Elephas maximus indicus: one gene and its partners. The protein of the gene in region 1 interacts with the protein of each later gene in a pairwise test. Links are inferred from orthologs where the notes say so. Each region holds a gene or a part of one and is shown in the gene's direction. Other genes may lie near its edges.

Evidence for each region.
Region 2: the proteins of EXOC1 (region 1) and CEP295 interact in a two-hybrid assay, tested with the Homo sapiens proteins (2 studies listed by BioGRID and IntAct). The link is inferred for Elephas maximus indicus from reciprocal best matches to the Homo sapiens genes EXOC1 and CEP295.
Region 3: the proteins of EXOC1 (region 1) and CCSER2 interact in a two-hybrid assay, tested with the Homo sapiens proteins (2 studies listed by BioGRID and IntAct). The link is inferred for Elephas maximus indicus from reciprocal best matches to the Homo sapiens genes EXOC1 and CCSER2.
Region 4: the proteins of EXOC1 (region 1) and RESF1 interact in a two-hybrid assay, tested with the Homo sapiens proteins (2 studies listed by BioGRID and IntAct). The link is inferred for Elephas maximus indicus from reciprocal best matches to the Homo sapiens genes EXOC1 and RESF1.

The regions. Positions count from the first base shown.
Region 1 is NC_064823.1:105,280,789-105,287,715, reverse strand, and holds the start of EXOC1 (exocyst complex component 1), read left to right. Parts: upstream 1-3,922; 5' UTR 3,923-4,012; intron 4,013-6,927.
Region 2 is NC_064825.1:27,305,299-27,312,770, reverse strand, and holds the start of CEP295 (centrosomal protein of 295 kDa), read left to right. Parts: upstream 1-4,472; 5' UTR 4,473-4,566; coding exon 4,567-4,701; intron 4,702-7,472. UniProt on the Homo sapiens protein: Centriole-enriched microtubule-binding protein involved in centriole biogenesis.
Region 3 is NC_064826.1:125,879,968-125,887,236, reverse strand, and holds the start of CCSER2 (serine-rich coiled-coil domain-containing protein 2), read left to right. Parts: upstream 1-4,249; 5' UTR 4,250-4,487; intron 4,488-7,269. UniProt on the Homo sapiens protein: Microtubule-binding protein which might play a role in microtubule bundling.
Region 4 is NC_064822.1:90,450,777-90,457,737, forward strand, and holds the start of RESF1 (retroelement silencing factor 1), read left to right. Parts: upstream 1-3,935; 5' UTR 3,936-4,029; intron 4,030-6,296; 5' UTR 6,297-6,382; intron 6,383-6,390; exon of another isoform or gene 6,391-6,961. UniProt on the Homo sapiens protein: Plays a role in the regulation of imprinted gene expression, regulates repressive epigenetic modifications associated with SETDB1.

The DNA.
Region 1 (6,927 bases):
ATTTTTGCTACACAGTAACAGTAGACAGTACCGTATCTGGTATCCAAGAAATTCACTGGGGCTTATCTTGGTGTTTTGTACTCAAGGATAAGTTGAAGGCAACTGCAGCAACCATGGCCCAACCAGAGTAAGGAAAATAAAGATAAAGGTCTGGATTACCTCACCAGGGAAGCAACCTAGATTAGTTGATATGCTGGCCAAGGGTGAGGGGAAGTTAGGATGGATAGAGGAGGAGAGAGTTAAAAAATGTACATCTGCCCTTGGCATCAGCATAGCAGCAGGGACTGAAGCCTGTATTAACTCTCTTGTATTAAGTCCTTGCAGGAATCGTGGCTGGCCACCACTCTGAAGTAGCCTCTGTGAGAGAATAGACTTAATGGAGGGCACAAGCAGATCTGAATGGTGTAAGAAATGGCCTGAAATGGACACCCTCTGTGCACTACTTCAAATCTCTTCAGTCTCTTATTTCAACCACTGCTCCAGCTACCTGTTCTGAGCAAGGTTTGATGAGCTTTCAGCAAGTGTAACGTGACAGCACCTCTCCTCTCGCTTCCTGCCCTAGGACTTCTCTGATGTGGAAGCCAGTGTGACATTCACAATTGTGCATTTTGGAAGTGTGGTGTAGTTGATGACCAGGAGCATTATCCTTTGATAAAGGAGTACCAGAGCCAACAGGTAAAACCTTCTTCTATTTTTTCCCCCATTTGGACAGTTCAGAGACTCATTTCACAAGACTTCATAGAAGGTCATACAGGATCAAGAAAACATTCCAACATGCTGTTAGCCAACTCAATAACACATCCTTATGTTGACTTTACTCATTCTTGTTTCACGTACCCTCCTCCTTCCCTCATTCGTGCTCTCTGGGTTCATACCCCCAAATAAACTACTAACACATAAGTTCTTGTTTTGGCCTCTACTTTTGGAGGAAGAGGAGATACAAGGCTTTCATTTTTGTACACATTAAGTGTCAGATTTTATTAGTCCAAAAAAACAAACTCATTGCTGTCAAGTCAATTCCAACTCATGGTGACCCCATGTGTTACACAAGAGAACTGTTCCACAGGGTCTTCTTGGCTGTAATCTTTACAGAAGCAGATCACCAGGCCTTTCTTCTCAGGTGCAACCCTTAGGTTAGCAGCTGATTGCAAGCCACTTGTACCACCCAGGTATGCAGTGAGCCTGAGGCACTTACTGGATATCTAAATGGAAATGTCAGGGGGGCAGTTGGATATACAAATCCGGAATTCAGGAAAGAAGTTCAGACTACATAAATAAATGTGAAATACAATTCATTTCCCTGCTTTGAGAGGGCTGTAACCATACAGGTAAACAAAAGATAGAAAATAGAACGAAGTAACACATGCAATTGTCACATAAAGAGTGTCCACAGTAAGTGTTTGGAGATTGACTAAGCAGGGACAGAGGCGTTTTTATACAGAAAGGACTCGATAGAGATCACACTCTTGAAACGGAAGTCATTCCATGAAAGTGAAAAGATTCCAAGCAGCATTGATTAGACCATATTATTTTCAATAACAAACGGATCTCTACAATTTCTGTGGTTTTTCCCACCAAATAGTATCTTCGGATAAATAATGAAAGACATTTTGCACAGCTGATTTGTCACTTTCTCAGTGAATCCGTCCCTGGCAGAATGAATTACTACCTCTTTTGCATATCTACAATGTTATGAATTGAATCGTGTCCCCCAAAATTGTGTTATAAACCCTAATTCCAGAACACTTAATTGTGCTCATGAGCAACCTGTACATAGACCAAGAGGCAGTCATTCCAACAGAACAAGGGGATAGAGTGTGGTTTAAAGCCAGGAAAACTGTGTATCAGGGTTGTATCCTTTCACCATACTATTTAATCTGTATGCTGGGCAAATAATCTGAGAAACTGGACTATATGAAGAACTTGGCATCAGGATTGGAGGAAGACTCATTAACAACCTGCAATATGCAGATGACACAACCTTGTTTGCTGAAAGTGAGGAAAACTGAAGCACTTACTGGTGAAGATCAAAGACCACAGCCTTCAGCATGGATTACACCTCAACATAAAACAAAAATTTTCACAACTGAACCAATAAGCAACATCAAGATAAATGCAGAAAAGATTGAAGCTGGCAAGGATTTCATTTTACTTGGATCCACAATCAATGCCCATGGAAGCAGCAGTCAAGAAATCAAACAATGCATTGCATTGGGCAAATCTGCTGTAAAAGATTTCTTTAAAGTGCTATAAAGCAAAGATGTCACTTTGAGGACTAAGGTGCACCTGACCCAAGCCATGGTATTTTCAATTGCCTCATGTGGAAGACGGGAGAAAAATTGATGCCTTTGAATTATGGCATTAGTGAAGAATACTGAATATACCATGAACTGCCAGAAGAATGAACAAAATCTGTCTTAGAAGTACAGCCAGAATGCTCCTTAGAAAGGAGGATGGCAAGCCTTCTTCTCGTGTACTTTGGACATGTTATCAGGAGGGTCTAGTCCCTTGAGAAAGACATCATATTTGGTAAAGCAGAAGGTCTGCAAAAAAACAGGAAGACCTTCAATGAGATGGATTGACACAGTGGCTGCAACAATGGTCTCAAACATAGCAAAGATTGGAGGGTGTCACAGAACTGGGCACTGTTTCCTCCTGTTGTGCATGGGGTCGCTAGGCATTGGAACCAGCTCAAAATCACCTAACAGCAAGAAACTAAGACACACGGTATTTCATCTCTTTTTTCTTCCTTTGTTGTTGGGTTTATCTCACTAGGGTACAATTTATGCATCTATTTGATAGGGTCACTATAAGTCAGAATCGAATCAACGGCAACGGGTTTTTAAGGGTTTTTCTCCAATGATAGTATGACCCCCTTGTGGGTGGGATCCCTATCTTTGTGTCTCTAGCACCTAACACAGTGCCGAAGATTGATTATTAAATAAACGAACACATGCATGAATGGATTTCTACAGCAACTTGCAACGACATGCTCCTTTGAACTTCCAGCACACTTATCTGACCTGTACCTCTCTTCAGTCACTTATTTTGTATCCTCTTTTTTATATTTATTTATATCTACATCTTGTCTGTCCTACCATACTCTGAACTCCTTCAGGGCAGGATTCATGTCCGAATCACCTCTGTACCTGGTATCAACCTGTCTGGTTTAAAACAGGTGCCAGGGATATGGAATCAATGAATCATTTGCCTTCCCACCAGCAACACTGGCAACACCCGTGCTTCTCAAATGTAAATGTGCGTAGGAGTCATCCCCTTAAGATGAAGATTCCGATTCAGTACATTTGAAGTGGGCCAAAGAGGCTGCTTTTTCTAAAAAGTTCCCAAATGGTACCCATGCAGCAGGTCCGCGGACCGTACTTTGAGTAGCAAAGTCATCGAAGCAATGATTCTCGCCCTTAAAGGTGTATTTAGAATAATCTGGGAGCTATCGAAAGTGCTAGTATCTGGGTCGCATCTCCAGAGTTTTAACTCATTTAAACTCTCCACGCTTTTAAGTAGCCAGGAACAAGACTTAAGCATCACAAACGCAAAAAATAAAACACTTCAGCTGATACCCTCTTAAACGAATTGCTGAAACATCTGAGTAAATAATTCTTCTCAAAAGTAATACATCGGGCGGCACCAAAGCCTGCCGTTTCAAGTCAGCGCGCGGTAGCGGCCGGGTCCCTGACCCTCCTTGGCGCAACTCCTCCGGCGAAGCCCCGCCCCGCCGCGCCCTGCCCCGCCGCGCCCCACCCCACCGGTGGCGCCACGCCCCTGCGTCTATTGGCCACTCCCTTTTTCCCTCCGTTTTTTCCTCCTCTACAGGGTTGACTTCCGGCTCGGAGCTTTGTCACGTGCCCGGATATGGGAAGTGGTAGGGAAACGGCTGCTTCCCGTTCACCGCTTAATTGAGGGGAGCTTTCCAGTACTGGTCGCCGCCTTGCCGCGTGCTGTCTCGGTCTTGGAGGGCCCGCCTCGGCGCAGCCGGGCTCGGTACTGTCCTGCGGTAAGCCTTCGGTCGCGGCTGCCCCGTAGTCCCGGCGGCAGGCAGACGATCGGGCGGGCGCCAGGGCCTGAGGCGGCACCTCTTTCCCACTGCTGGTTCGGCGACCGGGGTCAGGGCACAGCTCCCTCCGACGACAGTCCCTCCTTCTTTTCCCGGCGTCGCTGTGTAGGGCGCAAAGTCTGGGCCGAGCTTCCCCCACTTGGCCTGGGGTCTGGGAGAAAGTGGAGCAGAGAAGGCAATCTTCACACATCCGTTTCCGGCTCCGCCTTTGGGGACCAGATTTCATTTTTATCCTTGATTGTTCGAGCTTTGGAGTGGACGGGAAAGGAGGGTGTGGCAGTGTCTCCCCGCTCTCTCTTTTTTTTTTTCTCCCTAAGTCTATATTTTCTTCTAAGTTTCTTAAGTACATTCCTGTCTTGGTATGCCGTTCTCTTCACTGCATGACGGCACTCCACGCGCTAAAGTGTGTCGACAGCATGCGGGGCTCCACCCACATGGACGCTCACTGACAAGCTGTCACCACAAGCCCACCACAGAGTGGAATGGTCCAACTGAATTTAAGGAAACAAGAACGAAAACACAGAGTATGCAGTGGCTGGCTGCCTCTGGAACATAGTCAGACACAGGTTCTTAGAGCTGGAAAATAATTTTAGAGAACCTGTAATGATTTATTTACTGCCTTCCAGAAAGTATTGTAAAGTGGAGAGTAGGTTACTTAGCTCTTAGAATGTAAATGCCACGAAGACAGGGGCGTCTTCGTGTCTTCATGAACGTGTTTATCACGTTCAATAGAGAGATACCTGGCCCTTCATAGGCATCAGTATTTGCTGACCGAATGAGGGGCCCCACAGTGCTTTTCATTTATGTCTAACATCTTTATGAGGTATACCCAATCCTCTCTTGTTTTACCATTTACCATGCATTGAGTCCTTGCTTTTGGCCAAAGAGGGATCATGTGGTAAATGTTGGCCACTATTAGTCATTCATTTGACCAGTTTTTACTAATCAATTTAGATGGCTCAAGAGGTGTTTGTCGAGTACCTACTATGAATTCAAAACACTTTGATAGAGTGTGTGTTTGTCTCCCTCTCTCTCCCCCTCCTTTTTTTTATTTTTTCTTTAAAAGAGTTCTCCAGATCCAGGAGCGTATGATGTCATGAACCAATTAGACAGCCAGTGCTTGGTTGTTTATTAAGTGCAACTGAAATTGAGAGTAGAGATCAATTTGTACTTAAGATCCTTACTGAGTCAACATCATAAAAACCCTGAAGTGTAATTACATTCCCTGTATGGAAAAGCACCTAAGTGAAGATTTAAAGCCTGAAACTTGGAGTAGGAGGTTCGGATATAGAAGCATTAGGAAAATCTTGAATGAGGGCATGGTGTGATGAAGCTGTGTTTTAACATTATCTGCTTATTGGAGTTTTGGGGGGTTATGGAAGTTTGCAAAGAGATGGCCTGATGCTATAGTATTTAAATATCATGGATGATGTGAGTCTGGTTTAGTGTGGTGAGAATGGGAACAGAAAGGAAGGCATGAATTATGTGTGTCGGGGGGGGGAGGTAACAAAATGTGGTGACAGATGTTGAGAGTGGAGGAGAGGAATCAAATAGGGCAGATTTTAAACCTGGGCATTTGCGTACAGGTGTGAGAGTTGGAAAGAGGGAACTTTTTGGAAGCCGTAGTTGTTAAATTATTTAGTGCTATCATTTTAGTTGATTTAAGTATTTCTTAAATGCTTACTAAGTGCCCTTTGCCAAGTTCTAGGAATACAGAGACGAATATGACATGATCCTTACCTATAAAGAGCTACTTTTAATGGAGAAGAGAAGAGAATGTAGCTAGCTGGAAAATACAGTTGGTAAGTGCTGTGCTAGTGTAGTAGAGAGTTAGGGAAGTAGAAGAGGAATTTTTTTGGGGTGGTGGTGGTGGTAATAGTCTAGCATGATCTTAAGAGGGGAGTTAGAATTTCCTAAGGAGAAAAGAAAAAGATATTGCATGAGCATAAGCCCAGATATAGAAAAGTAAACTGGCCAGTGTTCGACGTGGTGTAGGGTGGAGTAGAGCTTGTGAGCAAGTGTTTAGGCCCTGGAACATATTAAGGGATTAGTAATGGGCATTTTGTAATAGGCGAAAAAGAGGTTAGGATGGGTGAAGATGTAGAAAGATGGAGACAAAAGCAATTGGGGAGAATTATACTTCATGGCCTCTATATTATCTGCAAGTCAGTGATACAGTCATCTGTGGAGAGTGAGGGGGCCCACACCATTTGGGGTCTAAATCAGAAATAGTAAAGATTTGTGACAACAGTGATGGCAGATGGGAAAAGGAAGCATTAAAGGAAGTGTAAGTGTTAAAGAATTGCCGAGCAGCATTGAAAGTCCAGGTTTGGATGAATTTCGATATTTAAAATGCAGTCAGTGAGCACAGATATGTGGCTTTCTTAAGTGGCCTATATTGTTGTTGTTAGGTGCCATTGAGTCGATTCCAACTCACGGCAACCCTGTGTACAACAGAATGAAACCCTGCCAGGTCCTGTGCTATCCTGACTGTTGTTGCTATGCTTGTGCCCATTGTTGCAACCACTGTGTCAGTCCATCTTGTTGAGGGTCTTCCTCTTTTTCACTGACCCCCTACTTTACCAAGCATGATGCCCTTCTCCAGTGACTGATCTGTCCTGATAACATGTCTGAAGTATGTGAGATGTGGTCTCGCCATCCTTACTTCTAAGGAGCATTCTGGTTGTACTTCTTCCAAGACAGATTTGTTTGTTCTTTTGGCAGCCCATGGTGTATTCAGTATTCTTCGCCAACAGCACAATTCAAAGGTGCCAGTTTTTCTTCGGTCTTCCTTATTCATTGTCCAGCATTATGCGTATGAAGCAATTGAAAACACCATGGCTTGGGTCAGGCAT
Region 2 (7,472 bases), on another chromosome or scaffold:
TCACTGTTCCCTTCCCCTCAATCTCACACTCAATTGTTTCTCAAGTACTGTTAATTTCGCCTTTTTAAATGTTTCTGGAATACATCTGTTATGGGTCAAATTGTGTCCCCGAAAGAATCTGTGTCAACTTGGCGAGTATCGTGTGACTGTCCACTATTTTGTCTTCTGATGCGAATTTCTTATGTGTTGTAAATCCTACCTATATGATGTTAATGCAGTGGAATTAGTGAGTTTTGTTAACGAGGCAGGGTTCAATCTAATAGATTAGGTTGTGTATTAAGCCCATCACTTGAGATATAAAAGAGAGAAGTGAGCAGAGACACGTGGGAACCTCATACCACCAAAAAACAAGAGCCAGGAGAACAGTGTATCCTTTGGATCTGGGGTCCCTGTGCTAAGAGGTTCCTCAACTAGGGAAGGTTGATGACAAGGACATTCCCCTGGAGCCAGCAAAGAAAGAAAGCCTTCCCCTGGAGCTAGCACCCTAAATTTGGACTCCTAGCCCGTGAGAGAATACATTTATCTTTGTAAAAGCCATTCGCTTGTGGTATTTCTGTTATAGCAGCTCTAGATAACTAAGAGAGAATTTGTTTACTGGGAGTAGGGTGCTGCTCTAATAGATACCTAAAATGTGGAAGTAGTTTTGAAACTGTGAATGGATAGAGTTTTAAAGCTCCTAATAGTAAAAGCCTAGACTGCCTTGAAGAGACTCTTGGTGGAATTATGGACATCAAAGACAATTCTGGTGAGGACTCAGAAGAAAGTGAGTAGAGCTGTTACACTGGAGACGGTGCAGACAGAAAGAAGCAGTAGCAGAGAAACAGCATCAGCAGAATGAAGAGACTAGTGTGAGATGGTGCTGGAGCTTACCCATGACACAACGTGAGAGTTGAGTGCCTCTGCACAGAAAGCTTCCTGGCAGAGTGGGATGTCTCTGAGTACTTATTGGTGGAGCTAAGCTTGCCAACTGACATGAATTGAATTGTGTCCCCCCAAAAATATGTGTCAACTTGGTTAGGCCATGATTCCCAGTACTCTGTGGTTGTTCTCAATTTGTGATTGTAATTTTAGGTTAAAAAGGATTAGGGTGGGATTGTAACACCACCCTTACCCAGGTCACACCCCTGATCCAAAGAAAAGGGAGTTTCCCTGGGGTGTGGCCTGCACCACATTTTATCTCTCAAGAGAGAAAAGGAAAGGGAAGCAAGCAGAGAGTTGGGGATCTCATACCACCAAGAACGCAGCACCAGGAGCAGTGCATGTCCTTTGGACGTGGGGTCCCTGTGCCTGAGAAGCTCCTCTACCGGGGAAGATTGAGGACAAGGACCTTTGTTCAGAGCCCACAGAGAGAGAAAGCCCTCCCCTGGAGCCAACGCCCTGAATTTGGACTTGTAACCTACTAGGCTCTGAGAAAATAAATTTCTCTTTGTTAAAGCCATCCACTTGTGGTATTTCTGTTATGACAGCACTAGATGACTAAGACACTGACCCACAGAGCAAGAGAGCTGAATGCCTTCCAGCTGAAGTGTACTGGCAGAGTGGAGTGCCTCCAGGCACTTATCAGTGGAGCCACAGAGCTTTGAAATACTTTCCTGAGCTGGGCAGACGCTGGCTGGCAGCAAGGTCCGAGAGGCCAAGAGGTCAAGGAACCAGGAAGCAGAAGCTGAAGAGACAAGGAACACAGGAAGCAAAGCTTGCTCAGTCTCACAAGGTAGGGCTACAAACTCTGGGGTCTCAAAGGGTAGAGTTGACACTCAGATGAACTAGAAGAATGGTGTCACCCAAACACAAGGGAACAGTGTTGCCCTTCCAGTGGGCCAGAAGGTGGAGCTGAAGCCCAGGGCAGAGGGGCCTCCACACAGAATCCTGAGAGTGTGGCCAATACCTAGAGTCTGGAGGGCTGGGGCATTGTGAAAATAATCTCAGAGAACAGAGGATTATATTTAAGCCTTCAGAGCTGATGTAACATGTTCTGCTGACTTGCTTGGTGTCTATTATGCCTTCTTTCCCTCCAATTTCTCCCATTTGTAATGGAAATGACTAGCTTGTGCCTGCCTGTTGCACCATTGTACTTTGGAAGCAGATAACTTCTATTCCACATTTCACAGATGAAAGAAATGAAGGCGAATTTTTGGATTTTGGACTTGATCTAAGACTTTTGCTGTATGATGGGCTGAATGTGTTTTATATGTGGCAAAGACATGAATTTGGGGGGGCCAAAAGGTGGAGTGTTATGGGTTAAATTATGTCCCCCAAAGAATGTGTGTCAACTTGACTAGTATTCTGTGATTGTCCACCCTTGTCATCTGATGTGATTTTCTTATGTGTTGTAAATCTTACCTCTATGATGTTAATGAGGTGGGATTAGTAACAGTTATGTTAATGAGGTAGGGCTCAATCTACAAGATCAGGTTGTACCTTAAGTAATCTCTTTGGAGATATAAAAGACAGAAGTGAGCAGAGAGACATAGGGTCCTCATACCATCAAGAAACAAGAGCCATAAGAATAGCACGTCCTTTGGACTCGGGGTCCCTGCTCTGAGAAGCTCCTTGACCAGGGAAGACTGATGACAAGGACTTCCCCCTAAACCCAACAGAGAGAGAAAGCCTTCCCCTGGAGCTAGAACCCGAAATTCGGACTCCTAGCTTCCTGGGCTGTGACAGAATACATTTATCTTTGTAAAAGCTATCTACTTGTGGTATTTCTGTTATAGCAGCAATAGATAAGAAACATCCTTCATCCTTTGTCTAGATATTCCATAAACAGCTCATATTCAAAATATTCAAAGCTTAACTCATTACTCCCCTCTCTCAAACTTGCTCCCCTTCCTAGATATTCTATGATGTCACAGCCATTTGCCCAATTGCCTACTATGGAAATTAGGCATCATCCTAGACTTCTCCCTTTTCTTTGCTTCTTATAACCAGGAAACTACCAAATCCTGAGGCTTAGCCTATTTGCCTCTTAAATCTACCATGTCTCTCCATCCTTACCCACTTCTGTTTATTCTCAATGCTATCAGTTTTCACTTCCTGCAGTAGTACCCTAACTGGTTTCCCTGCCTTCAATCTTCACCCTCTGACCTCTTTTCCACAATGTAGCCAGAATCTGATCATGTCAGCACCCTCCCTGCCATTGTTTTCTAATTCTCTGATTCCTGGTATTTTTTTTAAACTCCTATACTGCAAGAGCTAGGAGAATGGTGCTACATTCCATTTCATCATTTTCCATTTGTCTCCCTGTACCTAGCACAATGTACCTGCCACGTAATAACCAGATGTCATTGAGCTGACTCCATCTCATGGCAACCCCATGTATGTCAAAGTAGAACTGTGCTCCACTGGGTTTTCAGTGGCTAATTTCAGATATGGATTGCCAGGCTTTTCTTCCCAGGTGGCTCCTGGTATATGCAAGCCTCCAAACTTTGGGTTAGCAGCCAAGCGCCTTAACTGTTTGCATCACCCAGGGCCTCCTGGGACATAATCCACAACCACCAAACCCAGTGCCAGACCATCAATTCCAACTCATAATGACCCTATAGGACAGAGTAGAACTGCCCTACAGGGCTTCCAAGGAGCAACTGGTGGATTCAAACTGCTGACATTTTTGGTTAGCAGCCGAACTCTTAACCACTTTACCACCAGGGCTCCATACCATCTAATCCTGTTGCCATCAAGTAGACTCCTTTCAGCACCATAGGAGAGTAGAACCGCCCCCATAGGGTTTCCAAGGAGCAGCTGGCCAACCTTTTGACTAGCAGCTGAGCGCTTAACCCCTTGACCACCAGGGCTCCTGGCACATAGTAAAAAAAAAAGTAGGTGCTCAATAAATATGAACCTGTGCTCACCTCCTCTCTGGGTTATAGGTTATTTACTACAGATAAATCCTTGGCATGTTCTTGGTGTCTGGGACTTCTGGAGGCAAAGCAACATGATACGGTTCACTGTTATATAGGTTGGAGGCCTGAAGTGAAAGTTATCAGAAACTGCAGTATAATAAAACAAAAAAACAAACCTGTTGAGGTCGAGTCGATTCCAACTCTTATCGATCCTACAGGACAGAGTAGAACTGCCCCATACAGTTTCCAAGCAGCGCCTGGTGGATTCAAGTTGCCGACCTTTTGGTTAGCAGCTGTAGTGTGTAGCACTTAACCACCACACCACCAGGGTTTCCTGCAGTATTACAGTGCCAATGAATTGTGTACTCAATACGTAAAGTTAGATATATCCCAAGATATCTTCATGGTGGGGCTTTATGACTTCATGGCTCTGGACGAATGACTTCACTTTTCTAAATCTCCACCTCCTGATGAAATAAGCGTCCTGAGGCAGAAAACTTCAAAGCCGCCGTACCGATGAGAAATAATGGGCCCCCTTTTTTTTTTTTTTACGTAGTGACTGGCACGTGGTAGTGACTGGCACGTGGTAGTGACGACAGGCACGTGGTACTGCGCGCGTGCGCGTGACGAGAGGCTTTAACTCGGCGCGGCCCTCCCGGCGGCCCCCGGGGGAGGCGGGACCTGGCCGATTCCCGCGGTGTGGTCCCGCCATTGGCGGGCGGTTTGAATGACGGAAGTGACGATGGCTCGGCGATGGCCGCCCCGCAGGCGCACAAACGGCTGTTTGGAGGCTGAGTGGCCGTGGCTGTTCGGTCCTGCTGCTTCTGGGCTTCCGTTTCTTACTCCGGCTCCCCATTCTCAGGTGAGTGACGCCTCGGCTTCCCCGCAGTCCTGGGCGTGCACGACTTCCAGAGGCCCAGGAGCTGTGAGTGTGCTTAGGCAGGAGGGGATTCCATGAAAGGGCCGCGGAGCTAACAGCGCGCCCCGCGGTGGCCTCGGCAAGTCGCGGGCCCTGGCCCGGGTCGGGCTGGCGGCTGCAAAGAGCGCCGGGGCAGGAGGCACGTCCCGATTCAGGTCCACGAGCTTAGTGCGAGAGGCTGGTCGTCAGTCTTGCACGCTTGTGGCTTTGTGCGCCCTCCCGGGGTGCGGGGAGGGATCGCGTGGGTTTGCCCTGCAGTCTCCCGGGTCGCTTGATGGCCAGGAGGACTTCCGCGGCTGCTGCAGACACTTGGCCGTGCATCTTGCCTACCCTTCCCCCAGATCGCTGTGAGCATGGCCTGAAACTCGGTAGCCATTTAAGAGCCTTGCCTGGAATCGTTTCATGCAGCGAGTGTGCTCTGTTTTGGTGTCTGCCACTTTAAATTTTCCATGTATTCAGCCCTGTCACGAACCGAGATTTTAAAACAATGGCCAACGTCTGAGCCTTTAATGCTTAGAATGTAGTAGGCATTTTCACATTCATTAAGTCACAATCATCATAACAACCTGCTGGGGTAACTATTATTATCCCCGTAATACGGATTAGGAAACAGACCCAAAGTGACTAAGTGACTTGGTCATTGTCTTCTTGCTAGTAAGTTGCACTGTTAGTCTTGAACCCACATCTAAGTCTGCTATTAACTGAATGATTACCATGTATCAACCAGGGGCTTTATGCTGCAGTCCCATTTAATCCTCAGAACAAAATCTTGCAAGGTAAGTAGAATCATCCCTGTTATTGGATAGCAATAATACTTAGAGTTAAAAAATCCATATTGATTTGAATAAGTAATTGAATAAATAAATAATGGGAGAACAGGGAAACTTCCTTAAGTAGAATTCCAATTCATAAGTGTAGAATAAATAGTGAAAATAGACAATCTCTGTTTGATGAACACAGTAATTGTTCTAGACCAGAGTCATCAATGGATACTAAGTGGGCAAAAGTACCATGAGAATCAGGGTATTTACATAACCTCAAAGTATCTGTCCACGAGATACTTACAGTTTACAAGGAGAAGTAGTAACATTACAGTGGAGAACCTGGTAAGACACCATTTTAATTAGTGATACGTCACTGGTCGTAACATCAACGTCGTTTATCTCCTGATCTGATGCACTGAGAAAGGCACGTCGTCACTTCTGTGTTATTCTTGCCCAAAACACATAACGGCAGTCTAATCAGACAAATCCAAATTGGGGAATATTCAACAAAATAACTGAAGAGTATTTTTACAGAAATGTCAAGGTGTTGAAAAGAAAGGCAAAGACAAACAGAGGAACTGTCCCAGATTAGAGGAGACAAAGGAGACATGACAACCTTGGCAACCTGAAAATATACTTGAACTGTAATTGGTCAAGTGCCCCAGCTGCTGCACTCTGAAATCCTTCTGCGTGGAGGCAACACTTTTCACGGGCTTCTGTCATGATACTAAAGCAGACCTGTTCCTGGGAGACAAGGAATTGGATCAAGAACTCATTGGAGGTCTTGCAGAGCCTTCCTCAGACTACATGGCAGTCTAAGAGGCATCTACCTAGCTTTCCCTCCCTTCTTCACTCAGTGTCAGACTTGAAGTCTGAGGCTCTCCCACTCTTTACCAGCTACCTCCCCATTTTCCCTCATAAAATCTGTGGGGTTTTAATCCCATCTTGGCATCTGCGTCTTGTAGGATCCTGAGTAATGTGTGTTCTTGAATTGGATCCTGGTCCAGAAAATGGACATTAGTAGGGCAGTGGACAAAATTTGAATAGAGTCTGTGGATTAGTTAATAGTGCCAATGTGAATTTTCTGGTTAAATCTGAAATTATTTTCAAATGTCAAGTTTAAAAAATATATATATACACACACACATATATAGATAGATATCTACATACACACACAAGAAAACAAGTTATTCTGTCACATCTTAGGGGCTAAAAATAACAGATGTGTATATGATGTTTCCCTGTAGTCCTCTGGCAAATGAGAATGATTGGTGCTCAAAACAATCTGAAAAATTATAACTTATTTCTTTTTTAGGAAGTATAATTTAAGTAGAATAAAATCTACAAATCCAACTATACCATTTGATAAATTTTCACATATGTATACACCTGTGTAACCACCACACCGATCAAAATACACATTTCCAGCCCCCCCCAGGGTGCCTTTGTGCCCCCTCCCAGTCATTAATCCTCATAAAGGTGACCCTTATTTTAACCTCTTTCATCATGGATGAGTCTTGCTTGTTTTTGAACTTCATGTAAATGGAAGTTTATAGTATATTTTCTTTTGTGCCTGGCTTATATCTTTCAGTGATATTTTCTCTGATATTTCATCATGGATTCGTTTTAATAGTTTGAATATGAGTGAATTTTCAAAGATCTTCAGACAAATTAAAAAAGGCACACTGTGAAGACTAAATTCAGTCTTGCTCATTTTTTCTTCTTTGTTCAGTTCTTCGTTGTTCTTCAGTATCCCCACTCATGAAAAATATTAGCTTAAATAAAATGTTCCTCCCTCTAAAGGATGTCAGAAATTTAGGAACCATTTGGAATAATGAAACCAAATTCTTTTCTTGGCTCTGCTGCTAGATACTGTCACTTATGGCAAGTCCTTTAATTCAGGAGGCCTTTGTTCACATCTAAAATGGAGAAAACAGTAGGCAGCTATCA
Region 3 (7,269 bases), on another chromosome or scaffold:
TACTGAAACTAATAGAAGAGTTCAGCAGAGTATCGGGATACAAGATAAACATACAAAAATCAGTTGGATTCCTCTACACCAACAAAAAGAACATCAAAGAGGAACTCACCAAATCAATACTGTTTACAGTAGTCCCCAAGAAGATAAAATACTTAGGAATAAACGTTACCAGAGATGTAAAAGACCTATACAAAGAAAATTGTAAGACACTACTGCAAGAAACGAAAAGAGACCTATCTAAGTGAGAAAACACACCTTGCTCATGGATAGGAAGACTGAACATCGTAAAAATGTTTATTCTACTGAAAGCAATCTATAGATACAATGCAATTCCAATCCAAATTCCAACAACATTTTTTAGTGAGATGGAGAAACAAATCAACAACTCCATATGGAATTAGAGGCCCCAAATAAGTAAAAAATTACTGAAAAAGAAGAACAAAGTGGGAGGCCTCACTCTACCTGATTTTAGAACCTATTATACCACCACAGTAGTCAAAACAGCCTGGTACTGGTACAACAACAGATACACAGACCAGTGGGACAGAATTGAGAATCCAGACATAAATCCATCCACATATGTGCAGGTGATATCTGACAAAGGCCCAAAGTCTGTTGAATGGGGAAAAAACAGTCTTTTTAACAAATGGTGCTGGCATATCTGGATACCCATCTGCAAAAAAAAAAAAAAAAAAAAGAAACAAGATCCATACCTCACACTGTGCACGAAAACTAACTCAAAATGGATCAAAGGCCTAAACATAAAACCTAAAATGATAAAAATCATGGAAGAAAAAATAGGGACAATGCCAGGAGCCCTAATACATGGCATAAAAGGTATACAGAACATTACTTAAAATGCAGAAGAGAAACTAGATAACTGGGAGCTCCTGAAAATCGAACACCTATGCTCATGCAATGACTTCACCAAAGGAGTAAAAAAAGATTACCTACAGACTGGGAAAAAGTTTTTAGCTATGACATTTCTGATCAGGTTCTGATCTCTAAATTCTACATGATATTGCAAGAACTCAACTACAAACAGACAAATAACCAAATTAAAAATGGGCAAGGTATATGAACAGGCACTTCACTAAAGAAGACATTCAGGTAGCTAACCCATACATGAGGAAATGCTCAGGATCATTAGCCATTGGAGAAATGCAGATCAAAACTACAATGAGATTCCATCTCACTCCAACAAGGCTGGCATTAATCCAAAAACACATAACAATAATTGTTGAAGAGGTCGTGGAGAGACCGGAACACTAATATACTGCTGGTGGGAATGTAAAATGGTACAACCACTTTGGAAATCAATTTGGTGCTTCCTTAAAAAACTAGAAATAGAGCTACCATAGGTTCCAGCAATCCCACTCCTTGGGATATATCCTAGAGAAATAAGACCCTTTACACAAACAGATATATGCACTCCCATGTTCACCGCAGCACTGTTTACAATAGTAAAATGATGGAAGCAACCAAGGTGCCCATCAATGGATGAATGGATAAATAAATTATGGTATATTCACACAATGGAATACTACGCATCGATAAAGAACAATGATTAGTCTGTGAAACATTTCATAACGTGGAGGAATCTGGAAGGTACTATGCTGAGTGAAATTAGTTGCGAAAGGACAAATATTGTATGAGACCACTTATAAGAACTCGAAAAATAGTTTAAACAAAGAGGAAAATATTCTTTGACAGTTACAAGAGTGGGGAGGGAGGGAGGGAGAGGGGTATTCACTAGATAGTAGATAAGAATTATTTTAGATGAAGGGACAGACAACACAATAATAGAAGTCAGCACAACTGGACTAAACCAAAAGCAGTTTCCTGAATAAACTGAATGCTTCGAAGGCCAGCGTAGCAGGGGCGGGGGTCTGGGGACCATGGTTTCAGGTGACATCTAAGTCAATTGGTATAATAAAATCTATTAAGAAAACACTCTGCATCCCACTTTGGGGAGTGGTGTCTGGGGTCTTAAACGCTAGCAAGCGGACATCTAAGGTGCATCAATTGGTCTCAACCTACCTGGAGCAAAGGAGAATGAATAACACCAAAGACACAAGGTAATTATGAGCTGAAGAAACAGAAAGAGCCGTGTAAACCAGAGACTACATCAGCCTGAGACCAGAAGAACTAGATGGTGTCCAGCTATAACTCGTAACTGCCCTAACAGGGAACACAACAGAGAATCCCTGAGGGAGCAGGAGAGCAGTGGGATGCAGACCTCAAATTCTTGTAAAAAGACCAGACTTAATGGTCTGACTGAGACTGGAAGGACCCCGGAGGTCATCGTCCCCAGACCTTCTGTTAGCCCAAGACAGGAACCTTTCCCAAAGCCAACTCTTCAGACAGGGATTGGACTGTGCTATGGGATAGAAAATGATACCAGTGAGGAGTGAGCTTCTTGGATCAAGTAGACACGTGAGAGTGTGCTGGCAGCTCCTGTCTGGAGAGGAGATTAGAGGGCAGAGGGGGTCAGAAGCTGGCCGATTGGACATGAAAATAGAGAGTGGAGGGAAGGAGTGCACTGACTCATTAGGGAGCAACTAGGAGTATAAAGCAAGGTGTATATAAATTTTTGTATGAGAGACTGACTTGATTTATAAACTTTCACTTAAAGCACACACACACACACACACAACTGTCATAAAAAGCAGCCCAAACAAAATAGTGAAAGAGAGAAAGGTAAAAACCACCTCAAAAAGGAAATAGTATACAAGGGATAAAACCTGCTGTTATTTCTTCCACCTTAAAAATCAACAATTTTTTTTTTATTCTACTCTTCACCCTCAGCCACAGCACCATTTTTTTGCTCTCTGCAGCAAAACTCCTCAAATGAGTTGACCATGCTTGCTGTCACTAATCCCTCTTCTTTCATTCTCAAAGTATCCTATCACCACCACTACACCTAAACTACCCTTGTGTGACCTTCATACCAATAAATCAACCCTCATCTTTTTGCAACCCTCATCTTACTTGACCTCTCAGCAGCATTTTACACAATTGATCATTCTTCTCTTTGATACACTTTCTTCCTTGGCTCAAGAACCCCACAATCTCTTGTCCCCCACCCCCACCCCTACTTTTCAATCTACTTTACTTGTTCCTACCTCTTTATAATGGAGTAACCTGATCTCTTCTCTCAATTGCACTCACTGGTAAGTAATTACATCCAGTGCAGACCTGGTAGCACAAATGGGCACAGCAGCCCAGGGGAAAGGACGAGAAGGCAGGAGGGGACAGGAATGCTGGAGAAATGGAAATGAGGAACCCGAGGTCGAGAAGGGGAAAGTGTTGACATGTCGTGGGGTTGGCAACCAACGTCACAAAACAGTATGTGTATTGATTAATGAGAAACTAATTTGCTCTGTAAACCTTCATCTAAAGCACAATTAAAAAAAAAAAGTATGTTACTAAATGAAATGTAGCTTTACAAATTACACCTGCCCCCTTACCCCAGTCCTATAGCCCTCCATCCCTTCATCGTGGAGACAAAAGTGTTGATTAAAGTGGCCGGTGAGGGTTTCAGAGAGCAGCTAGTCTACCACAGATCAGAACAGCTCCAGGGCTTCCAGCCGGCTGGACCGGTGAGGGCACTCAAGGGCAGGCCTGGCAATCGGGGAGGAAAGGAGCCTCGGAGCAAGCCAGTGGGGGATGGAAGTGCCGAAGAGAAGGAGGGCCTGGTTCTTGGTCCCCAGGTTGATTTGGAGCGAGTCGTTCCAAATCTCAGCATTTCGGGGCCCCTTCTCCTGGATTTCAGCAAGGTCCTGCTTGTGGGCGTGACAGGCCGGGTTTGGGGCTCAGACATGCTCTGGAGCACGGGGAGGCAGGGAACAGGGATGGACTTGAAGCACAAAATGTTGGGGATGTTTAGTTCACCAAAGGTTGGGGAGCGCTCATCTCATCCCGATGCTCAGACCCCGCCCCCCCGACTTTTCGGGTCTGCAGGTGGAACTGACAGGTTTCACCATCGTCAAGTAGCAAACGTCAGCCCGGGAGGCCGGCTGGGGGTGGGGCCAGACGCGGGCTGGAGTCCCAGGCCACCAGCAGACCTGAGTCAGCGGGCAGGGAGGCAAGGTCAGTGGAGGGGCGGGCCCGAGGAGGAGGCGGAGCCTGGGGAGGCAGGCGACAGGCCCGTGGCCAGGCCGGCGGTGGGCTGAGGCCGGCGCGGGCGGCTGGGCGGGGCCCGGCCTGCGGGGTCTGCGCCTGCGCGCGCTTGGAGGGGCAGGGCTGCGTGCGCGCGTGGTGCGCGGCCCGAGGGCGGAGCCCGGGCGGGCGCCGGTGAGGGGTGCGCGGCGGCACGGTCTGGCGCTCCCTCAGGCCGCGGGTGCGCTGCTGGCAGCTGCGGGTCGGGCGGCCGGGATGTGACAGGCGGCCTCTCGCCGCACCTTTCCTCCTTCCGTCCTTGGGCCCGAGGGCCGCCGGGGCCCGTAGGCCGGCCACGGCGGAGGAGGCAGCGCGACCTCTGCGCGGTGAGAGGCGGGCCGGGGTCGGGGCGGAGTCGGGCGGGCGCCTGCGACTGTAGGGGCCGGGGGCGCGGCCGGGCGCGCGGAGGCCGGTTCCCCGGGCGAGGCGGCGCGGCGTCCTGCGCCTCGGGGGCTACCCCTCGCGCCCCGCGAGCTGCCGGGGCGGGGTCGGCGGCACCGGCTGGACGCCCCCCGCCCCCGGGCCGTGACAGGCGCGCCAGGGCCGCGGGGCAGCGCCTTTCTCTGAGGAGAAGACGGGGCGCGGCTGCGGTGCCCAGGGGTTTCGGAGCCAGGATGCTTGTGAGGCTTGCTGGAGGAGAGTCCCGGGGTGCCCCGAACAGGGGCTCTCGTCGTTGTTCATTACTAGGCCCGAACAAAGACACACCCTGAACACACCCCGAGGTAAAACTTTGGCGGACCACGGTGCTGCCGTAGGGACGGATGCTTTTCTCGCTCCTTGGTAGACACCTGCGGTTTTTGTACGGACGTTTTTATGCACCTACTTTCTTGTCATTAGGAAAGGAAGGATGACTCCTTGGAAAAGCTGTCCCTCGGTGGCTGAGCTTGAGTTTGAATTTCAATAATTGCAAATTCATCTTTGTAGACTACCCAGCCAATTCAGCTTGCTGTTCCCAGGTTAGGCCTGAACCGTCTGGAAACGACTGATAGCTGGACTCGTCGTGGTCCCCGATTGGAATCTCAGTGTTTCATTCCTATGGGTGAGATAATTGGGTTGTTAACCTTTTGAAAACAGCTATTTTAAAAGGCATTCCCTTTCTTTTTTTTCCCTGAGCGTTGAAATATTAATGGAACCTATTAATTTTGCCCCCCCCCTTCTTTTTTGGAAGCATCATTTTTTAAAAAAAAAAGTGGTGGCAGCTCTTCTTCAACCTTAAGATACTCTCCTTTGCAAAAGATCTTTACAAAATATGTCTTGTTATTTGTAATCAATATATGATAAGGATGCAAACGTTCTTGAATGTTTGGCCTGAAGTCCACCTTCTTCATTACTGTTTGCCTCTACTTACTGTTTCTTATTTGGTTGTTTTCTTTAATGTTTTAAATAATCTTTGAATAAAAACATACACTTTCTTGAACCGTTTAGCTGTGTGTATTGTCTTAGTTCAATGTTGTATTAATATGCCATAGTCAGAAGCTGCTAGAAGTCATCCTGGGAGTAGGAAGTGTCACCCCCCCCCCGCCCCACCCGCTTTTTAAATCACTCTTCTACAGCACTGGGTTACCTTTTGAAATCCAGACCTGCATTTTGCTTGTTACCTTTACTCAACTTCCTTGTATGGTGGAAGAGGGAGACTTTGATTACCTGTTTAAAAGTCCTTCAGTGACTCTCTATAGCCTGTATTGGTAAGACTCAAAGTCCTTCACCTTTTCTGGTACATGCCTGCACTCCATTCCAGTTTTATCTTCTACCATTACTTCTGCCCTCTGTATGCGAGACTACTCGCAGTTCTCAGAAGACCTTTTCTTTTGTATTTAACTTACCCTGTTCCCTCTGTTGAGAATTCTCTTTTTCTCCTCTACCTGGTTAACAACTTGCCCTATAAGACCTAACTGAAATACCTCCTCTGATCTGTCCAGACATTTCGACCTGCTTGTCTTGACTGATAGAGACTTGTCCTTCTGTACTGCATCCAGTAGTACAGTGTACATTCCACAGTTAGCGTTTGTCCATTGGTAGTTATTTATGTATGCATTTCCGCCACCAGATTTTGGGGAAAGAAGGGACCTTTGCAACTCTAGCACACGCTATTGCGAGGCACAGGTGCTCAAAAAGTATTAAATGAATTACTTTTTGAAGAATGAGAATGGTTTCAATCTTTTTTTTTTGTAATAGCTCTTTTAAAAAAATTATATTTTACTGTGTTTTCAGTGAAAGTTTACAAAGCAAATTAGGTTCCCATTTGACAATTTCAGTACAGGTTATTCAGTGACATTAACTACATTTCTTACTATGTACCCACATTCTCTCTAATTGCGTTCTGGTTGTTCCGTTTTCAGTGCTCTAGTTTCCCTGCCCCCTTATCTTCTCATATTTGCTTTAAAGTAGTTATTGACCTTTGGGTCCCATATAGATGGTTTTTTAATGGAGCACAGTAATCATTGGTAATATCCTTTATTTCGTGTGCCAATTTCACTAAAAGGTGACCTTGGGATAGTTTCAGTTCAAGGTTTAAAGAGAATCTCAGGGCGATAGTCTCAGGGAGTCCTCTGGTCTCAACTGGTCTGGTTAGTCTGGAGTTTTTAAGAATTTGCAATCTGTTCCATGTTTTCTTCCCATTCTATCAGGGTGCATCCCTAGAACCATCAGTAGCGGTAGCAGGGCACTATCTAGTTCTTCTGGCCTCAGGGTAGATACTGCCGAGGCCCTTGTAGGCTGTTAGCCCTGTAGACTAGTTTCTTCTCTGAGACTTTGGTTTCCTTCTTTATCTTTTGCTCCAGACAAGTAGAGACCAGTAGTTGTATCTTAGATTACTACTTGAAAGCTTTTAAGACCCCAGACGCTCGCTACTCACCTCCCTAGAATGCAGAACATGAACTTCGTGAACTGTAAGAATGGCTTCAGTCCTGAGTATGGTGTTAAGGTCAGCAAAAATGCTGCAGACTGCCTCTTTTCATTATCAGAAAACTTAGAATGAATCATAAGGTACTTGTAAGTTTTCCAGAACAAAGTCAAAATTGTTACTGCTGGTTAGGAATGAAACCCCAGTTATGATGGGGAAAAAACATCCGTTTTAGGACTCAAGAATAAAAGGAATGGCGAGTAATG
Region 4 (6,961 bases), on another chromosome or scaffold:
AGAAAGCAGTGCTGGGAGCAGAGTGCATCCTTTGGACCATGGGTCCCTGTGTGGAGAAACTCCTAGTCCAGGGGAAGATTGATGAGAAGGATCTTCCTCCAGAGCCAAGAGAGAGAGAAAGCCTTCCCCAGAGCTGATGCCCTGAATTTGGACTTCAAGCTCACTAGACTGTGATAAAATAAATTTCTCTTTGCTAAAACCATCCGCTTGTGGTATTTCTGTTATAGCAGCACTAGATGACAAAGACAGGTATAAAATATATTTCCTCTAACAAACATGGTATTGGCTAAAATTTACTGAGAATTCACCATGTGCCAGGAGCTGTTATAAGTGCATTACATGTATTAACTCATGAAAGTATCACAACAATCCTATAGGTAGGAACTACTGTTACCCCCTATTATGTATGCTTTTATAACATATAAGTCACCTATGTGTAAGTCACTATTATTTGTACTTCTGTAATGCTTTGTACACAGTTATGATGCTCCTTAAATACCTATATATGTCATTTATAATATAAAATTAGAAATAGAATTTCTGAACTTAGAAATGGAAACATGTATACACTGTATCTATGATGGTCTCTAACATTACCTGTAAGTCATTAGAAACATATGTCATTAGAAAGTCGTTCTAACCTTAGAAATAGAAAACAGAAGTTTGTGAAGTATGTAGTAAACAAGGACATAAATATGTCATATAGCAAACTCCATCATTTCTAATAAATCAAATCTCTGTAAATTGGCTTTGGGACATACATATATCATGTTGTTGTTAGGTGTCATCAAGTTGGTTCCAACTCATAGTGACCCTACGTACAACAGAACGAACCACTGCCCAGTCCTGAGCCATCCTTACAATTGCTGTTATGTTTAAGCCCATTGTTGCAACCTTTGTGTCAATACACCATGGACTGCTATACATATGTTATACACAAACCAAAAACACCAAACCCCTTGCTGTTGAGTCAATTCCAACTCACAGTCACTACCTTAGTCATCTAATGCTGCTGTAACAAAAATACCACGAGTGAATAGCTTTAACAGAAATTTATTCTCTCACAGTTTAGTAGACTGGAAGTCCAAAATCAGAATGTCAGTTCCTGGGGAAAGCTTTCTTTCTCTGTTGGCTCTGGAGGAAGGTCCTCGTCATCAAAGTCCCACTGGTCAAGGAGCTTCTGAGGCACAGGGATCATGGGTCTAATGGATGATGCACTTTGCTCCCCGTGCTTTCTTCGTAGTATGAGATCCCCCGTCTCTGCTTGCTTCTCTTTCCTTTTATCTAGTAAAAGGTGGTGCAGGCCACACCCAAGGGAAACTCCCTTCACATTGGATCAGACCTGTGACCTTAGTAAGGGTGCCACAATCCCACCCTAATCCTCATTAACGTAATCTAATCTTGCCTCATTAACCACAGGCAGAGATTAGGATTTACAACACACAGGAAAATTACAATCACAAAATGGAGGGCAACTAGGCAATACTGGGAATCATGGCCTAACCAACTTGACACATACTTTTGGGTGACATAATTCAATCCATGACACTGTCCTATAGGACAGAGTAGAATTGCTCCACAGGGTTTCCAAAGCTGTGATCTTTATGGAAGCTTACTGCCACATCTTTCTCCCACAGAGAGGCTGGTGGGTTCAAACTGCCGATCTTCGGGTTATCAGTGGAGTGCTTAACCACTGTGCCACTAGGGCTCCTCATGTCATACAACTATTTCCTTAACTGACAATAAAATATATTAACGATTCAAATCTCTGTATGGCCTTGAAACAAATATGTCACAATTCCTTTAATTGGCAATAAAACATACCAAGTATGGTTAAACATAACAGCACCTAACCCTTCTTATGAAATCAAGATAAAAAATACTGTGGATAAACCCTTTGATTTCTGCTCACCTCCTGGAGAAGAAAGCATGGACAAAAGGTCTCTCTGACTCTGGTTCTCTCTGAAGACCAAGAGCCTGCTGAGATCATACCCATCACAACCAACCTTGGACCCTGGCTATTGGGGACCTTCTCTGAGTTTGAGGAGTGGTCAAGTCTTTCTTCCTGAGACTACTCATGAAAGGCCTGAAGTCTAAAGATTTAGACTCTAACACTAATCGTTAATTCTGATTCTCCAGTGCTAAATGAATGTCTTGGGGTCTTAGGTGTGTGCCTTGTTATGACTACCTTGCAATAAACTAAACGAGTTTATGCATGACAAACCGGAGCATTTATTTATTCTTAAATTAAAAATCCTCCAGGACACCCCAGTTTTACAGATTAGAAAACTGAGGCAGAGAGAGGCTAAATGATTTTCCCAAAGTTGTATAGCTAGTGAGTGATAGAGCCAATATCTGAACCTCAAGGACAAAGGAATACCCTGGCTCCTCCCATACCTGAAGAACCACCTCTGGTCCTTCCTCATTCCTATAATGATTAAGAGAAGATTACTTTGTTTACTTGTCCCGATAAAAACCCTAGGTAATATCCTCTTATTTATTGCATTAATGAATGCCATAGCCTGAATAAAACCATTTCCTTAATTGTTCAGGTGCATGTTGTCTTTCTACACCAGTTTTGTATTGAACTGTGTTTCCCATAAAGACAGATGTGTTGAAGTTCTGTGAATGTGATCTTGTTGGGAAATAGGGTCTTTGGAGATGTTATCAGTTAACGGGAGCTCCTACTGGAGTAGGGTGGGTCCTAATCCAATATGACTGGTGTCTTTGTAAATAAAAGGGAAAGACACACACAAAGGGAAGGCGGCCATGTGATGACAGGCAGAGTGGAGTTAATGTTGCAACTGCAAGCCAGGAACGCCTGGGTCTACCAGAAGCTGAAAGAGAGACAAGAAGGAATTATCCCTAAAGCCTTCAGAGCCACGCAATTAAAAAAAAAAAAAAATTACCAAACTCATTGCCATCTAGTGGGTTGGGAGTCATAGTGACCCTCTAGGACAGAATTGCCCCATAGGGTTTCCAGGGCTGTAAATCTTTAAGGAAACCGACTGCCACACCTTTCTCCCCAGGAGCTGCTGGTGGGTTCCAATCCCCAACCTTTTGTTTAGCAGCCCAGCGCATCAATTAAAGGCCGGATCAACCAGTAAGCAAGGTATCCACGGGTTTAACTGTGTTTACTTACTCATCTGTAGTGCACATTTTCACGTGGGTTTCACAACGCCATGTGGTGGAAAACAGTGAAATCGTGCACTACAGATGAGTAAGTAAACACAAGTAAACACGTGTTTACCTTCCTTATTGGGTAATCCGTCCCTCTGGTCCTTCTTCATTCCTAATGATTCAGAGAAGATTCTTTTGTTTACTTTTTACCCTAGGTTGATATCCTTTTCTTTGAAAAGGTTGCTCTGCATAAAGCCCTGCAGACATCCTAAACTCGGATTCCTACCCTCTAGAATTGTGCGACAGTTAAGTTTCCCTTCTCACGAGCCACCCACTTTGTGGCACTTTTAAGGCAGCCTTAGGAAGCTACCAACAACGACCACATCAGGAAACTAATACAGTACCTTGGTAGAAAACATTTGCCGACCCCAGCTCTAGATGCTCAGCCCTAGTTCTGAAACCAGAATTTTCAGTATTGCTTAGAAAAAACTTAGAAATGCAAGTCTTCAGCCCCACCCAGGACTACCGCTTTGCCGTGGGGCTGGTCCGTCTCTTCAACATGCCCTCTAGGCAATTATGTTCACGTTATAAGTCGAGAACCACAGTTCGCGGCGCTGTACTTTATCAGACCGGTGAAGGTGCATTGCTAACCTCGGCAGACGCGCTGGAAGACCCGGCGGGCCGCCGCCGCAGCCTACTCTGAGCGCACTAGGACCGCGGCGGCGTCAGCCTCGCAGCCGCCGTCATCGCCCGGGGCGGGGCTCCGCTGTGCGGGAGCAGGAGCTTCATTCCTCGGCCCGCCCCTGGAGGCGGGTCCAAATTGACTAACTCTGGGTCTAGGCAGCCCGGCGGCGTCCTCCTAGGTACGGCGTTTTCCTAGCTAATGTCACTCGGACTCCGGGCTCGTCGGTAAGTGGGGACGGGTATCCCGCGGCCCCTCACTCGCCATCTGGAGTCGCCAGCAGCGCTGTGGGCGCGGGGATCCCGAGGTGCCCGCGAGGCGGGTCTAGGGGTGTGGCGACCGAGCGCTTTTGTTCTGCGGGGAGGACGGAGCCCCAGGCCGCGGGCCTCGGTCTCCCACGCGCGTCCGACCCGGGCCGCCGCCCCGAACCCTGCCCGCCTGCCCGCAGCGCTCGCCGCCTGCCGTCGCCTGGGCGGATCCTGGCCCGCTGCCGACGCCGGAGCCCTCGACCCGAAGGGCGGTGCCTTGCTGCCTGTTTTCCTTGAACTGTCCGCCTTTTTACGGTCGAGGTCGCGGGTGGCGAGAGCGGGTACTCATTTTGTTCAACTATAGGCGGTTGGTTAGGTGGCTGCGTGTTTTTGAAGTTGCGTATGTTTTTAGCGAAAAGGAAAAAAAAAAAAAAAAAACCTTTGTTTTGCGTGTAGTAATCCTCGAGATCTTTCCTCTTCCCCCGCGCCCTTTATGCTGAAACCTCCCTAAACAGAATTGCTCCGCTTGCATCTCCGAGCGGCCCGCGAACGCTTCGGTGTTAGAGATGCTTTCTGTCCCTCTGCAGTAGTTCCGCGAGGCATTTTTAAATGCGTAAATGCATACCCTTTTTAGGTGTTCTTCAGGGACGCGAAAATGTCCTTAGGGTCCTGAGTTCAGCATCACGCTTTCTGGGAATTGTGTTGGTGTAATTGTATGCTTTCAGTGCCTGCCTTCAAAATAAAGAGATAAGCAGGTGATGTCTTTGAGCTTGGGGGCGAATTTTAGTAGGCGGATCGCGCCGCTTGTTTGGGGCTTTTTAAGTTTCTGCTAAATGTGTTAGCCGTAAATCATGTGTAAGTTTTACCCAGTAAATGTTAACACGCACTATGTTAAGGTTTTACTTACTGATTTGTTTCCTGTACAATCTGGCTCTCTTAGTAAACCTGTTAAATGTTCAAATTCAAGCCATAAATTTTGGCTAATCGCACAGTAACCCCGGACATTCTTCCAGGGCTGTTTTTCAGAGCTGCGCAAAATTTGTACCAGGTGTCCTGGGTAAGGTCAGGTTGTCTCTAGAGACAACCTACTCTCAGACGCAGACTCTGGAATGCACTAATTGGGACCTGAGAGCCTAGCCTGGTTTATATCAGTTTGACTGTCCTTCTGATCCGGTGAAGCAAGCCAACCAATCATTAAACAACCCAAACCGGACAGTAATCAATGACTTATCTTTCCAAACTATTGTAATCCCTCCCCCCAAATTAAAGACCTTTTCCTTAACCAATTACTTAGAACTTAGTTTCCTCACTGTCTTTAAAACCTTTCCTTGATTTCCAAAAAATGAGCTTCACGTGTGTTAGGCACTGAGTTAAATTAATCACTCAATAAACCTTGTTCAAAGATAAATAAAATTGCTAGTGTAAGTGTGTTTATTTTGGAAAGATAGGACAATGGTGGACCTGGAGGAACACCCAAGAATTACAACCTAAAAAGTGAGTGGTATTTTGAGGTCAGACCTAATTTCTACTCTTGATACTTAGCACACGTAATAAGAATTTCAATAAACTTGCTAGATGGTGTTAAACATTTTTATAGGGGCAAGAGTTAAAGTGGCTTCCCTGGGTCAACAGCCAAACAAATTAGTCATAAGGTCACTTATAAGAAACAATTTCACACAGAATCTGAAACATAGGCAAGTTTTCCTTATTATCAACATGAGTTAACAATCCTTAACAGTGTGAGTTAGCAACATTTATCCAATCAAGATAAGCCAGTTTCACATTCAGTGACCAACTTTCTCAAAACAAAAGGAAAATTAAATGTGACTAACCAATTAAACGGTAAGATACCCAAGCTTTAAAAGGGCTTTGTAACTCACCCCCCTCGCCATTTTCAGTTTGGGCTGCTCTTGTACAGTTTCTCAGTCAATAAAACCAAACCCATGGCCACAGAGTTGATTCCGACTCAAAGTGACCTTAAAGAACAGTAGGACCATCTCATGGGGTTTCCAAGGAGTGGCTGGTGGATTTGAACTGTCAGTCTTTGGTTACCAGGCAAGCTCTTAAGCACTACACCACCTGGGCTCCCCCCACTCGGTAAACCCTGCTAACTCTAATTGACTTGTTAACCAAATTTTTGAACAGGTGCAAACTTAGGTAACCCAGTTATCAAATTGCAATGTCAAGTCATGTAACATTATCGTGTGGCTCTTATTAATTATAAAATGTCTGTTGTTTATTCTTAGGACCAAGTATATGCTTGGAGGGGGATTGACTTGTCTGGAGGGAAACAGGAATAGACAATAATTGAATGATAAAATTGTTTTTAAAGGTAAGCATGTTACCTCTGAGAAGTCTACAGTGATTTAACCAAGTGATTATTCACACTCTACTTAGGTAACAGCCCCCTAAAATTTAAATCTTTGGGGCACTTGACTAAAGGATGGCTGCCTCTGGGCCTGAACTCAAACTTCATTTTGAAAAAGCCTGCTCTACTCTAAGAAGTTAACCTTTAAACAGAATTAATCTGGTATCTAAGGAAATGTTTTCTTTTGTAATCAAGCCATGCAGGCCACTCCCAGGAACCACATTGTATGAGAAAGCTATGTTAGCAGAAAAGAATGTCCTGTGATTGTGTTGTAACTACTCTGTAAACCCCCTATAGTCACCTAGTGGTAACTAATGAACAAAGACTTTTTAAGTCAATCATGTAAACCCACATATGTTGTGTTCATCAATTACTGTAAACCACCTCCCCACCCTGCTTTCCTTGATCCACCTTTGACTTTTACAAATCACTAGTAAGCCAATCAGAATATTGTATTGTTAGTTCCTGGTTTAATAATGTAAACATTGCCTAGATGCCTGTGACCTCTTAGAGAACATAGTTTTATATTGTGGCCTCTGCGTA